3 linked regions of the Oryctolagus cuniculus genome follow. The protein of the gene in region 1 purifies or fractionates together with the protein of each later gene. This does not show direct contact. Links are inferred from orthologs where the notes say so. Each region holds a gene or a part of one and is shown in the gene's direction. Other genes may lie near its edges. The genes, in order: SLC39A11, GALNT16 and FAM174A.

Region 1 (3,644 bases):
GCACTTGGGCCATGTTCCGCTGCTTTCCCAGGTGCATTAGCTGGGAGCTGGATCGGAAGTGGAGCAGCCGGGACTCGAACCAGTGCTTATACGAGTTGCTGGCATTACAGGCAGTAGCTTGACCTACTGTGCCACAACGCTGGCCCCCAACACACACACTTTTAAAGCAGTCTCTTCACCCGTTCCTCTCTCTTTGCTCAGATAAGAGTGAGAACGGCGAGGCATACCAGCGGAAGAAGGTGGCGGCTGCTGGCCTTGGAGGGGGCCCTGCTTCCCCGGCGTCTTCCCGAGGGAACCTGGCACAGCCGGGCGGCAGCAGCTGGAGGAGGATCGCGCTGCTCATCCTGGCCATCACCATCCACAACGTCCCAGGTGAGGTCTGGCCCCGAGCCTGCGCGCCCGGGCCTGGAGGGGGAGCCGCTCACTTGGCAGGAAGAGACGCGTGGGCGGTGGTGACACAGTCCTTTATGGAGGGGATGCGGGTGGGACACAGGTCTCTGTTGGCTCACTGTGGGGGCGCCTCATTGTAGCGTGATCATTTTACAATGAAGCTCCCATTCCCACGGCTTGGAGCAACCGTCCCTCTTTCTACCTACTTCTTCCCATATGGACACCAGGTTCGTTGGAGTGTGAACTTGTTACTGTTTGATTGCTCTGGAGGGGGCCTGTCGTGAGCACAGGATGTGTCTGGGTCTGTTCTGTGCTTTTTGAACCTAGTGAATTCCGTCTAGCTCGATGCTGGGGTCCGCCTAACCTGCTTTGTGTGTGCGAGAGTCCTTCAGAAATGTCTCACCAACCCTCTCCTGGTTAGCGTTTTGGAGTGGTTTGTTCTATGTCTTTGGATTCATTTTAATTGGAATAAAAAAGACATGGCGGTGCTTTATTTTGAAAATAATGTAAAGGAAATGGATTTGTTTTAGTGCAATCAGAAGACATGGGTAAGCGTAAAAATAATTTTCTAAAAATAATAAATATAAACAAATAAATATATAAATAGGAGAATATAAATAACAGTATCACAAAAATAAACTAAGGAAAGCTACTCCTGAGGGTATGTTTCAGAATTCCTGTTCTACCTCCTACCTATGAGTTTATTTTTATTTTTTCGAAGAGATTTATTTATTTTTGTTTGAAAGGTAGGAGCTGGCTCTGTAGCATAGAAAGTTAAGCTGCTGCCTGCAGTACCGGTGACCTGTTTGGGTGCCAGTTCAAGCCCCGGCCACTCCACTTCCAATCTGCCTCCCTGCTAACGCACCTGGGAGAGCAGTGAAAGATGGTACAAGTCCTTGGGCCCCTGCTGCCCACGTAGGAGACCTGGAAGAAGCTCCTGGCTTCGGTCTGGCCCAGCTCCAGCCATTGGTGACCATTTGGGAAGTGCACCAGTAGATGGAAGATATCTTTCTTTCTCTCTCCCTGCCTTTAAAATAAATAAATAAATACTTGACAGGTAGACTGATAGAGTGGAAGAGACAGAGAACTCTTCCATCCACTGGTTCACTTTCCAACAGCCTGAGCTGGGCCAAGCCAAAGTCAGGAGCCAGGAACTCCATCTGGGTCTCCCAGAAGGGTGGCAGAGGCCTAAGTACTTGGGCCATCATCCACTGCTTCCCAGGCGCATTAGCAGAGAGCTGGGATAGAAGCACAGAGCAGCTGGGACTTGAACCAGCGTCCTGATGTGGGATGCAGGTATCCCACGGCGCCACTACATGCTGCCCTACAACGCCCACCCCCGATGAGCTTATCTGGACAAACTTTCAGCTTCAGAAGCCTTGGTTTGCTCATCTGTGGAATGGGAACAGAATAACACGGTGCCTGGCTCATTTTGAGTCTTAGGTGCTAAATCACGGGTAGAGCTCTCAGGACACCGCTGGGGCCTTGAGAAACAGGAGTCGTCGTTCATGTTGGTGATTCTCCCGCTTGCCTTTCCAGCCTCGACTTCCGCAAGCTTCAGTCTTAAACATTCTGATCTGGTTTTGGTTCTTCAGGACTCAAGTTTGAGCAGTCCCCAGGTGCGTCCCCAAGTGATGTATTTTCCGGGTCCTTACAGAGCCCACAGAGCCGGGCTGATACCTGATTCCAGAGCCGAGACGCTTCCCCTGCACGGCTCACACGGAAGTCACTGCACAGCTTCCGGTGTTAGTGCTGTGGGGGGAGCAGGGGGCGGGGCCAGACTGAGCGTGTTCCTCCGTGTGACTTGATCTCCTTTTGCTTACACGATGAAGACATCTGTCATCTTTAAAGAGTGAAAGTGCTGGGGCTGATGTGGTATGATGGCTCAGTCACCGCGTGGGACACCCCTATCACCATCTGAGCGCCTGCTCCCAGTGCTAGCAAAACTGCTTCTGACCCAGCTTCCTGCTAACGCACACCATCGGGGGGGGGGGGCAGCAGGTGATGGCTCAAGTGCTTGGGCCCCTGGCACTCATAGGGGAGACCTGGATGGAGTTCCTGGCTCCTGGCCTCAGCCTGGCCCAGCTCTGGCTACTGCGGGTGTTTGGGAAATGAACTAGTCGATGGACCACCTCTCTCTCTCTCTCTCTCTCTCTCTCTCTCTCTGCCTTTCAAATGCAATAATGAACACTCTAATAGATGTCATGTCGTCTAGTCTATTTTGACTCTGCCTGAGGTGCAGTATGTCCAGTCGCCTTTTAGGCTCGGCTGTTTGTCTAGCTGAGAGGCGTGTTCCTCTGCTCCGTCTCTCCTGCCTCGGGCGTCTCTGTGATCATACACGGGCGGGCTCTCCCCGCGGTGTCATCAGCATCCGTCCCTCGTTTTCCTCTGGTCCCTTCCCCTTTGGGTTATGAGAAAACTTTTTAGGTTGGCTGTCTAGGACTTCTCCTTCCGTGTGTCTTGAGATGATGTCCACTTGGGACCCCAGCGCACAAAGATGACCACAGTGGATCGATCCTGCCCAGAGGGCCTGGTTGTCTCACCCCCAGTCTCTTAAAGAGACTGTAGAAGTCGGTTTCACCCTGAGGAGTGCTCATCGGCAGGGAAGAGAGGTACCTGTGTGTCCTCTGTCACAGTGGGGCTGTCTTCCGGCCACCAGGAGCCCTACTTGATCGATCCAGTGGGTTTAGAACTGAGTCCAGTGACCCTAGTCTGAGTGGTACCATGATGGTTTGCTGTTTCCCAGAAGAACAGAAAAACATGCGAAGATCCAGAACTCACAGCGCTGGACTACAAGTGCCCCGCTCTCCCGCACTGGACACCTGCTGCTGCGCCGCCCTGGCCCTGTGTGCTCGCTTGCTGGGGTCGCGTCCTGGCTCACGTTGACAGGAGCTGCTGTGGCCCTGTGTGCTCTGAGTGCATCCCTAAACGTCTGTGTGCTGGGATCTTGGCTCCAGTGTAATGACACCAAGAGTTGTGAACCCTTTAGAGATGGACCAGTGATTAGGGAGGAAGCTGATTAGGTCATAGAAGGGATTAATGTAGTTATTGCAGTACTGGGTTGGTTCCCACAGGAGTGGACTGTTGTAAGAGCAAGCCTGGCCCCTACCTGCTCTATTTATTCTTCTTCTTCTTTTTAGGTTTTATTTATCTGAAAGGCAGAGTTAAAGAGAGAAAGAGAGATAAATCGATTGATTTCTTCCTTCCATTTGCTGATTCACTCCCCAAATAGCCACAGTGGCCAGGGCTGGGCC
Region 2 (3,644 bases), on another chromosome or scaffold:
GAGTGCGCGTGTCTCCGTGGCGTGCAGGCACGTGCGCGCATGCGCCAGGCCAGGGGGGCGTGAACTGTCCGCAACACGGGCACCAAGCTTCATCGGGCCCGGGAACTGACACCCCAGCCTTCCCCGCCACGAGACACCACGGAGAGGAGGCCCAGCCCCTCCCCACCGTCACTCAGCGGACCTCGGCCTGCAGCCCCTCGCCCGCTGACCCCTGCCGTCTCCCGCAGAGCTCTCCTTCAGGGTGTGGATGTGCGGCGGGAGCTTGGAGATCGTCCCGTGCAGCCGCGTGGGCCACGTCTTCAGGAAGCGGCACCCCTACAACTTCCCCGAGGGCAACGCCCTGACCTACATCAGGTGAGTCGCAGCGGACGTGCCCTGGGCTCGGATTGGGACGCCTTGGCCCTGGACGCTGGCCCTCCCAGTTGCTCAGCCGTGACTTTGGGCAGTCACACACATGCACACCCATCTCGTGTATCGGGCCTCGGTTTCCCCAGTCCCCCCCTCCCAGATCTGACATTCTGGGATTGCAGGACCTCCAGGAAGTTTCCACCAGGTATCCCTTGCCTTGGCTCCCTTGGACCAAGATCCTGATAACCAAGCGACTCCCTCCCTGGCTGGTCCAGGTCTCAGCTCCGATATGCTCTTCTCTATGAAAACTTCGTCCATCTGCCGCATTACAATCCGCCTCTCTTCTGGCCCCTACCCTGCTTACTTTCTGTCTGCTGCACTTTTCACTCACTGACTTGTGCTGCTCGCCACTCACTGAGGCCCGCTTGCTGGTCACGGATGCCTGACTCGATCCATTGTCTCTGCAGCCAAGTCCCCAGCCACAGGGTGCACCTGCTGTTGGCCTGGAAAGCCACTCATGACCCGTCTTCCTCCTGCGCAGCCCTCTTGGCTCTACAGGAGTGGCTACTGTTGAAAGGTAGCCGCTCTGCACGTCCATAACTGTGGCTTCCATGCACAGAGACAGACACACACAGCCACCGGTCCATGCTGGTGTTTATGGAAAGGGGGCCATGCTGTGGTTGTTCCTGACGCCTGTGTTTTGGCCACGCTGCACGGAGTGGAGCAGAGGCGTCTGTCCATGTGACGCACCCAGGCTGAGCTTGCAAGCTTGCACCCTTTCCCAAAGCGGCCTCACACTCCATCACATGGAGGTGCTTTGTTCTCCATGTTCGTGTGCGTGGCCTTGCTATGCCGGGGAGGTTTTGCGCGTCTGTAGAATGGATTCCTTAGAGAGTGTCCGAGTCTGTGGTGGACACTGACAGATGTTCCTCGCTCCCTGGAGACTACGCTAATTTATATCACCCCAATCGGCATGCGTTTGCACACGCTCCTGAGAGCCTTCTTGCCCTTGGCTACATGGCCTCATTTTTTCACAAACTGCAACTGCATACTTATTTTTTTTAAGATTTATTTATTTACTTGAAAGTCAGAGTTACACAGAGAGATAAGGAGAGGCAGAGAGATAAAGAGGTCTTCCATCCGCTGGTTCGCTCCCCAGTTGGCCGCAATGGCTGGAGTTGCAGCGATCCGAAGCCAGGAGCCAGGAGCTTTTTCCTGGTCTCCCACGCGGGTGCAGGGGCCCAAGCGCTTGGACCATCTTCTACTGCTTTCCCAGGCCAGAGCAGAGAGCTGGATCGGAAGTGGAGCAGCTGGAACTCGAATTGGTGCCCATATGGGGTGCCGGCACTGCAGGTGGCAGCCTTACCCCCTATGCCACAGCACCAGCCCCACAAACTGCAAACTTTTAACTGACCAAAAGGATGGCAGCGTTCATCTTGACCCTGACCCCACCCTGCTGTCTCTCTGGCGACCTTGTTTTGCTCTTCTGTTCTTCTAGGAACACCAAGCGCACCGCAGAGGTGTGGATGGACGAGTACAAGCAGTATTACTACGAGGCCCGGCCCTCCGCCATCGGGAAGGCCTTCGGCAGGTGGGACCCCACCCCACGCCCTCAGTTTCCCTCCGTCCACGTTGGCACAGCCATAGCAAACTACCTTCACAGTTTCCCTAGGGAGAGAGCTCTCCCTGGGCTGGGAGGCCACGCAGAGACAAGGCCCTGTCCAGAGGTGCCCGCAGCCTCCCGGGGGGAGGGTCGATTGTGACTGAGCTGCCCTGCACAGCTGCCGGCAGCACAGGGACATCTGTAGCAGGACCTTGGGAGGGGCTGTCTGTAGAAGAAGTCTGGGCTTTTCTCTCTACTCCTGTTCACTGCTGTGATCTGCTTGCCTATTTTCCTGCCGGCTGTGACGACTACAGTCTCGCTAAGCATTTTTCAGAGGCAGATGGGTTGTGAAATCCATTTAGTGTGGGTCGTGACCAGCATTGAGAGAGAGAGAGAACACTATGGGTTAGATTAGCACTGAACAGAATGGAAAATTAGCGTTGATTGCAGTGAGAGGTAAACATTGTATGATGAAACTGTGATTTCAGTTGTGTGTGTGTGTGTGTGTCCTACCTACATGGTGCATACCGGATCACAGTGGAGGATATAGGAACAGTCTTCAAAAAGTTCATGGAAAATGTGCGTTATGGAAAAGCCATGTGTGGGTTTTGAAATTTGCTTTGTACCCAAATAAGCTTACCTTTTTTTTTTTTTAACAAAAAGATTTCTTTCTGTATCTAAAAGGCAGAGTTACAGAGAGGCAGAGGCAGAGAGAAAGAGAGAGAGGTCTTACATCCACTGGTTCACTCCCTAAATGGCTGCAATGGCTGGAGCTGTGCTGATCCTAAGCCAGGAGCCAGGAGCTTCTTCCAGGTCTCCTACATGGGTACAGGGGCCCAAGCACTTGGGTCATCTTCTACTGCTTTCCCAGGCCATAGCAGAGAGCTGGATTGGAAGTGGAGCAGCCAGGACTTGTACCAGCACCCATATGGGATGCTGGCATCGCAGGCAGCAGCTTTACCTGCTACACCACAGCGCTGGTTCTGGAAGCTTATCTTTTAATTCCGTTTTTTTCCATGCACTTTTTGAAGCCCCCTCACTTTCATCTCCTACTTAAATTCTGGTTTCCCTCATGCAGATTTGTCACCGTCTCTATAAGAAAATATGCCACGAAACAGTTCACTGGGAGCTAACATGTGCTCAGTCCTTCACGTCCTCTTAGATTCGTCCGATTCTTAGAAGTCTTCTGGGGTGGGTGGACTGCTATGGAAGACACGGAGGCTGGGCTGGGTGGCCACAGGGGCATCGGCCAGGGGCTGCTGTGGCAGGTGTAGGCATGGAAGGTGAGCGCGGGGCTGGTGTCCCACGGACACATCAGCTGGCACGGTCGTGGCCACGCTCCCAGAGGAGATGTAAATGTGGCTCTTCTTGCTCCGGCCTCGCTCGGAGTGTGGAGTTCAGGAGAGGGAAACACCTGTTGGAATCGGCTCTGCTCTCTGCAAAGCTCAGCACCAGCTTAGGGTGCGCCGAGGTCTCGGGGGAGGAGGGGGCAGGAAGCCGGCTAAAGCCTGGTCCCCCGAGAGCTGGGCTTGTCCTGAAAGGTGGGCTTGGGGCAAGAGCCCAGAGGATGACTCGGGCAGGAGGCCAGGGCAGGACGGCGGAGGCTGCGGTGGCTCCTGGCCTTTGTTCCCCAGAGGAAAATGGGAAGAGGGACTGAGACTACGGGCCCTGTGGGGGTGGGGGTGGCTCTGCC
Region 3 (4,431 bases), on another chromosome or scaffold:
ATCAGTGCGGTGCGCCAGCCACAGTGCGGGCCACGGCGGCCATTGGAGGGTGAACCAACGGCAAAGGAAAACCTTTCTCTCTGTCTCTCTCTCTCACTGTCCACTCTGCCTGTCAAACAACAACAACAACAACAACAACAAACATTAACTCTGTCCCTACCCAGATGTTTGTTTGTCAGTACCTGCTCAAGTCGGGGTTACTGTGGATGCCAGCATTAAACCTCAGAGAAGGCTTTATTCCAGACCACTGCAATAGGGGAGAGGGGCCAGAACTCAGTGGGGCAACTCGTTGTAAACGAAGACCTGGAGAGCTTTTAGGAGCTGAGATGGCAGGATCATACGCCACCTGTGCTCGCTAAGTGACTCTACCCAAAGGAAAAGTAAAGCTTCTCCTATTTTCTTCACAGGAGAGTGAAGTAGGCAGGCATACAGGTTAAAATTGGTCAGATTTGTGAACTGGAAGACCACGCCCCTGTGTGGCCTTATCCCCCTACCTGGCCACACAGGGGTGCCCACCAGCCAATCAGGTTAATTAAGCACTCCCCTTTGGAGTGGGTTAAAAGGCTAGGGCACAGTGTGCTCTGCCCCAGCTCTTCTTCCCTGGCCTCTTGCCAGGACAGGGCTTGCTGTAGCCCTGCCCCTCCAGGGTGCAAGGCCTTTGGGCCATGTGCTCTAGGCTTCCTGGCCTAGACGCTCATCCACATGGCTGGTTCCTGGTGCTTGGTATGAACCCCTATTCACCTCTCTCCCCTAAATAAAGCTCTCACTCTCTTATGCACCTTTCTTACTAAATAAAAGCTTAAAACGTACCATGCTGCCTCGTTTATCTGTGCCGGTATTTAGAATTCTTCTCTAAATATTAGGCAAGAACCCTCTCGGGCTTATTAATAGCGGGGATTTAGTAATAAGCCCGTAGTGAAATTGTAAGGCACCCCAAATTCCAGTAGCGCATGTGGCACCCCGGATAGCATTTCTAGGGAACTTTAAGGGGCCACATTTCAGGGTAAATTTTAGGGGACCTTTTCCGATTTCAAGAGGATTTTTACAACCTGAAGCCAGCACCTGGGAGAAAGTAGATTCCCATCTCCCCGTCCCCTAAACACACCCAGACACTAGGAGATAGGGACACTGTCTGCCTGCTGGAATACATTGCAGAGAGAGGAGCCTCAGGTTCTTGGCTGTGATAAGAAACTTAAATTTTCGACAGGAAGTGCTCTGAGGAAAGTGGGCCAGGGCCTGGAGGCAGAAACAAGGCCTGTTGAAAGTTTGCAACTAAGCTGACTGTGCGGAACTTCTTAAGCATCTTGCTTACTTAATCTGTTTCTGCAGATCTGCACCAAAGAATTCAAATAATAAGCTTCCTATTTCTCAGCTTCCGCATGCAGAGCTGCTGCAAACGCCACACAATCCTGTCTGTCCGCTTTCTTTGTTACCCACCTTAAACCACTCCTTTTCCTATTCAGCCCGACAGTCAAAGCACCAAAACCAACCTCAAAGTCTGAACCTTCCTGCTTCCACCAGGACGCGTGCGCAGTCGGCCCCGCGCCTCTGACGTCACTGAGCGCGCCCCGCCCTGACAGGATAGCAACCGACAGCGTCTCTAGCAGCAGCGGCCTCTGAGATGCACGAACTTCCGGTTCTCCCAGCAGCTGCCGGCGCCGCCGCCTGTGCCACCTGTCAAGGCCCGGCCTGCCTCGGTCTCCTTCGCGCCCATGGTGCCTCCTGCAGCCCGGGCGGCGGGCCCGGCGGCTCCCGCGTGGTGAGAGGGCGGTCCAGGGACGATGAAGGCCCCGCACTGCTGCTGCTGCGGTCTCGGGCGCCTCCTGGCCCCTGTCCTGGTCCTGCTGCTGCTGCTGCCCGCGCTGAGCGGGCCCCTGGCGGTGCTGCTGCAGGCCGCCGAGGCCGCGCCGGGCCCCAGGCCTCCGGAGCCGCAGCCACGCACGCCGCCGCCGGGCCCCACCCCAGCTCGGCCTGAGGTCGCCGGGCCGCGGGGCCCCGAAGGCGGCAATGGCAGCAGCCCCGGGGCGGGGCTTGTGGCCGACGAGGTCGCGGGGAAGGCCGGGGAAGGCTCCGTGGGAGGCGGCCTCGCCGTGAGCCCCAACCCTGGCGACAAGCCCATGACCCAGCGAGCCCTGACCGTGTTGATGGTGGTGAGCGGCGCGGTGCTGGTGTACTTCGTAGTCAGGACGGTCAGGTGAGGCGAAGCCTCGGTGGGTTCCCCCGGGCTGCCCTAAGGCAGAGTCCCGAGACCAGCGTTGCTGTCTTCCTGCCCCCTGCACTCGGGGCTGCGGCCGAGAATGTGAGGTGGACGCGCATTTCCTTGGGGGAAGTTTGATTCTCCAAGTAGTAGCCGCAGCTTCTCCGCGCCCCACATCTCATCCTCTTGCCCGAGGCCCGCGCCAGTGCCTGCGGTGGAAGTGGGTCCCTTGCGTTTCGGCCACTCGCCCTGGTGATGCTGCACCCCCCCCCCCCACCCTGTTCGTGTCCCTGGGTACCTACCTGGCCGAAATTTTGCCTACAGACTCCTCAAAGGCAGGGTTACTGTTTCGTGGTTGGTTCAAGACGTCTTTGCACGGTGTGGCCACTCAGTACAAAGTTTCTCTTTGGGATAATCATGCAGAAAGGCCTCCTGGCTATGTTATTTGTATAAAACTTAGAAGAGCAGTCCTCCCTTACCATCGCTGTTTCTTAGTGTTGGCCGTTAACCTGCCCTTGAAGTGATTGGGTGGTTAGCTATGCAGCTGGGCTCCGTGGAAGCCTTGGCACACACAACCAAGGCCTCCCTGTGAACCAGAGCCGCTCAAGAGGGGAGCTGAGGACCAGCTGCTGTAAGCGCAGAGGGCACGTTGTAAGGATTGCAATGGTTTGTTGTTTTCCAAAGCGATTCACCTTTCGCCCCATAATTACCTACCTAGTCTCTGATGCCTTTTTTAAACATGTAGTTAAAATCAATTATTTAAACAGTGCTTCCAGTTAAGCAAGTCATTCTTAGGAATGGGAAAGGGACAGCATTTGATTTTTAAACTGCTGATGAAGAAGTGCAGTGTAAACTAGTGGTCTCTGGCACGTGGTCCATCCAGGGAACCCCTGGGTGCTGGGTTCCAGAGGCGTTTATGACATCAAGAGTGTCAAGTTGTTTTCAAAATAAATCGTTCTCTTACGACTTTATAAGATATAAAAAGGTCATTGATACCTGTTTAGAGTCACATTGCCAGTTAAGAGACTTCTTGTTCAGTTTTGGTGTAGTATACAAGAATAATGTCGAGTATCTGAAAAGGCCATTAACATGCTTTTCCCTTTCTCCAAGTTCCTATCTGTATGGAGCTGGGCTTTCTTCACATCTTTCAACCAAACACATTGCAAATTATTTAATACAGAAGTAAATGTGGAAATTACTTTTTTTTCTGTTCCTATTGTATTTCTGTCAGTTTAAGTAGATATTGAACAGATTTATGCCATTTTCATATTATATTACCCTGTATTCAATATTATTTTAGATCAACAAGCATTTAGGTGTTTTCTCTCATATAAATAACATGTTGAATATATATAAAATTCACACAAATAAAAGTTCCTTAGACATCCTGAATAATTTTCGAGAATGTAAAGGAATTCAAAATGCTAGAACTGCTGTCGTGAACAGTATTACTTGAGCAAGATACTATTGGTTCATAAAGACCAACAAATGTAGGCCCACTCACTTTTAATGGGGAAATTGGAAAAAAATGTTTTGGAGCTGTTATAGGCATAGAGCAACTGAGTGTTATATTTGTTACACATATGAGTAAGACGATAATTTGGGGAGACTATGCCCCTCAATTGTTTTTGTTTCTAACTCTTTTTAAATATTTATTTATTTATTTGAAAGGAAGAGTGACAGGGAGAGGCAGAGAAAGAGAGAGAGAGAGATCTTCTGTCTGTTGATTCACTGCCCAAATTCTGGCAACAGCCAAGATTGGCCCAGACCAAAACCAGGAGCCGGGTACTCTATCCAGATCTTCCATGTGGGTGGTAAGAACCCAAATACATGGGCCATCTTCCCCTGCTATCCCAAGTACATTAGAAAGGAGCTAGATCAGAAGTTGAGCAGCAGGGACTCAAATCACCACTCAGAGATGGGATGCTAGTGTATCAAGTGGCAGCCTAACCTGCTGCACCACAATGCATCCCCTGCCTCTGCCTTGTTTATAATATTATATACAAATGTTTGTTGTTGATTTTGTTATTCACTGTTGTGAAACTTGGAAGGACGTAATCTTTTTAATCAGATTCTATTGGGTGACTCTGTAATATGGCATATGAGAACAACCAAATTCTGAACTATGGCTAGTAAAAGCTATTCTTTAACCAGTATCTCACACATCCATGCCATCCAAGTCCTAAATTTAGTTGGCTACCGAACTTCCAAAGCTTGATTGATGCTAACAATGC

What was found.
Region 2: the proteins of SLC39A11 (region 1) and GALNT16 purify together in Homo sapiens (co-immunoprecipitation; 3 studies listed by BioGRID and IntAct, counting the BioPlex papers as one, with this or other methods). This does not show direct contact. The link is inferred for Oryctolagus cuniculus from reciprocal best matches to the Homo sapiens genes SLC39A11 and GALNT16.
Region 3: the proteins of SLC39A11 (region 1) and FAM174A purify together in Homo sapiens (co-immunoprecipitation; 3 studies listed by BioGRID and IntAct, counting the BioPlex papers as one, with this or other methods). This does not show direct contact. The link is inferred for Oryctolagus cuniculus from reciprocal best matches to the Homo sapiens genes SLC39A11 and FAM174A.

What each region holds. Positions count from the first base shown.
Region 1 is NC_091448.1:7,100,773-7,104,416, forward strand, and holds part of SLC39A11 (zinc transporter ZIP11), read left to right. Parts: intron 1-201; coding exon 202-372; intron 373-3,644. UniProt on the Homo sapiens protein: Zinc importer that regulates cytosolic zinc concentrations either via zinc influx from the extracellular compartment or efflux from intracellular organelles such as Golgi apparatus. May transport copper ions as well.
Region 2 is NC_091451.1:15,216,710-15,220,353, forward strand, and holds part of GALNT16 (polypeptide N-acetylgalactosaminyltransferase 16), read left to right. Parts: intron 1-227; coding exon 228-354; intron 355-1,846; coding exon 1,847-1,939; intron 1,940-3,644. UniProt on the Homo sapiens protein: Catalyzes the initial reaction in O-linked oligosaccharide biosynthesis, the transfer of an N-acetyl-D-galactosamine residue to a serine or threonine residue on the protein receptor.
Region 3 is NC_091445.1:23,031,889-23,036,319, forward strand, and holds the start of FAM174A (membrane protein FAM174A), read left to right. Parts: upstream 1-1,602; 5' UTR 1,603-1,781; coding exon 1,782-2,194; intron 2,195-2,499; exon of another isoform or gene 2,500-3,085; intron 3,086-4,431.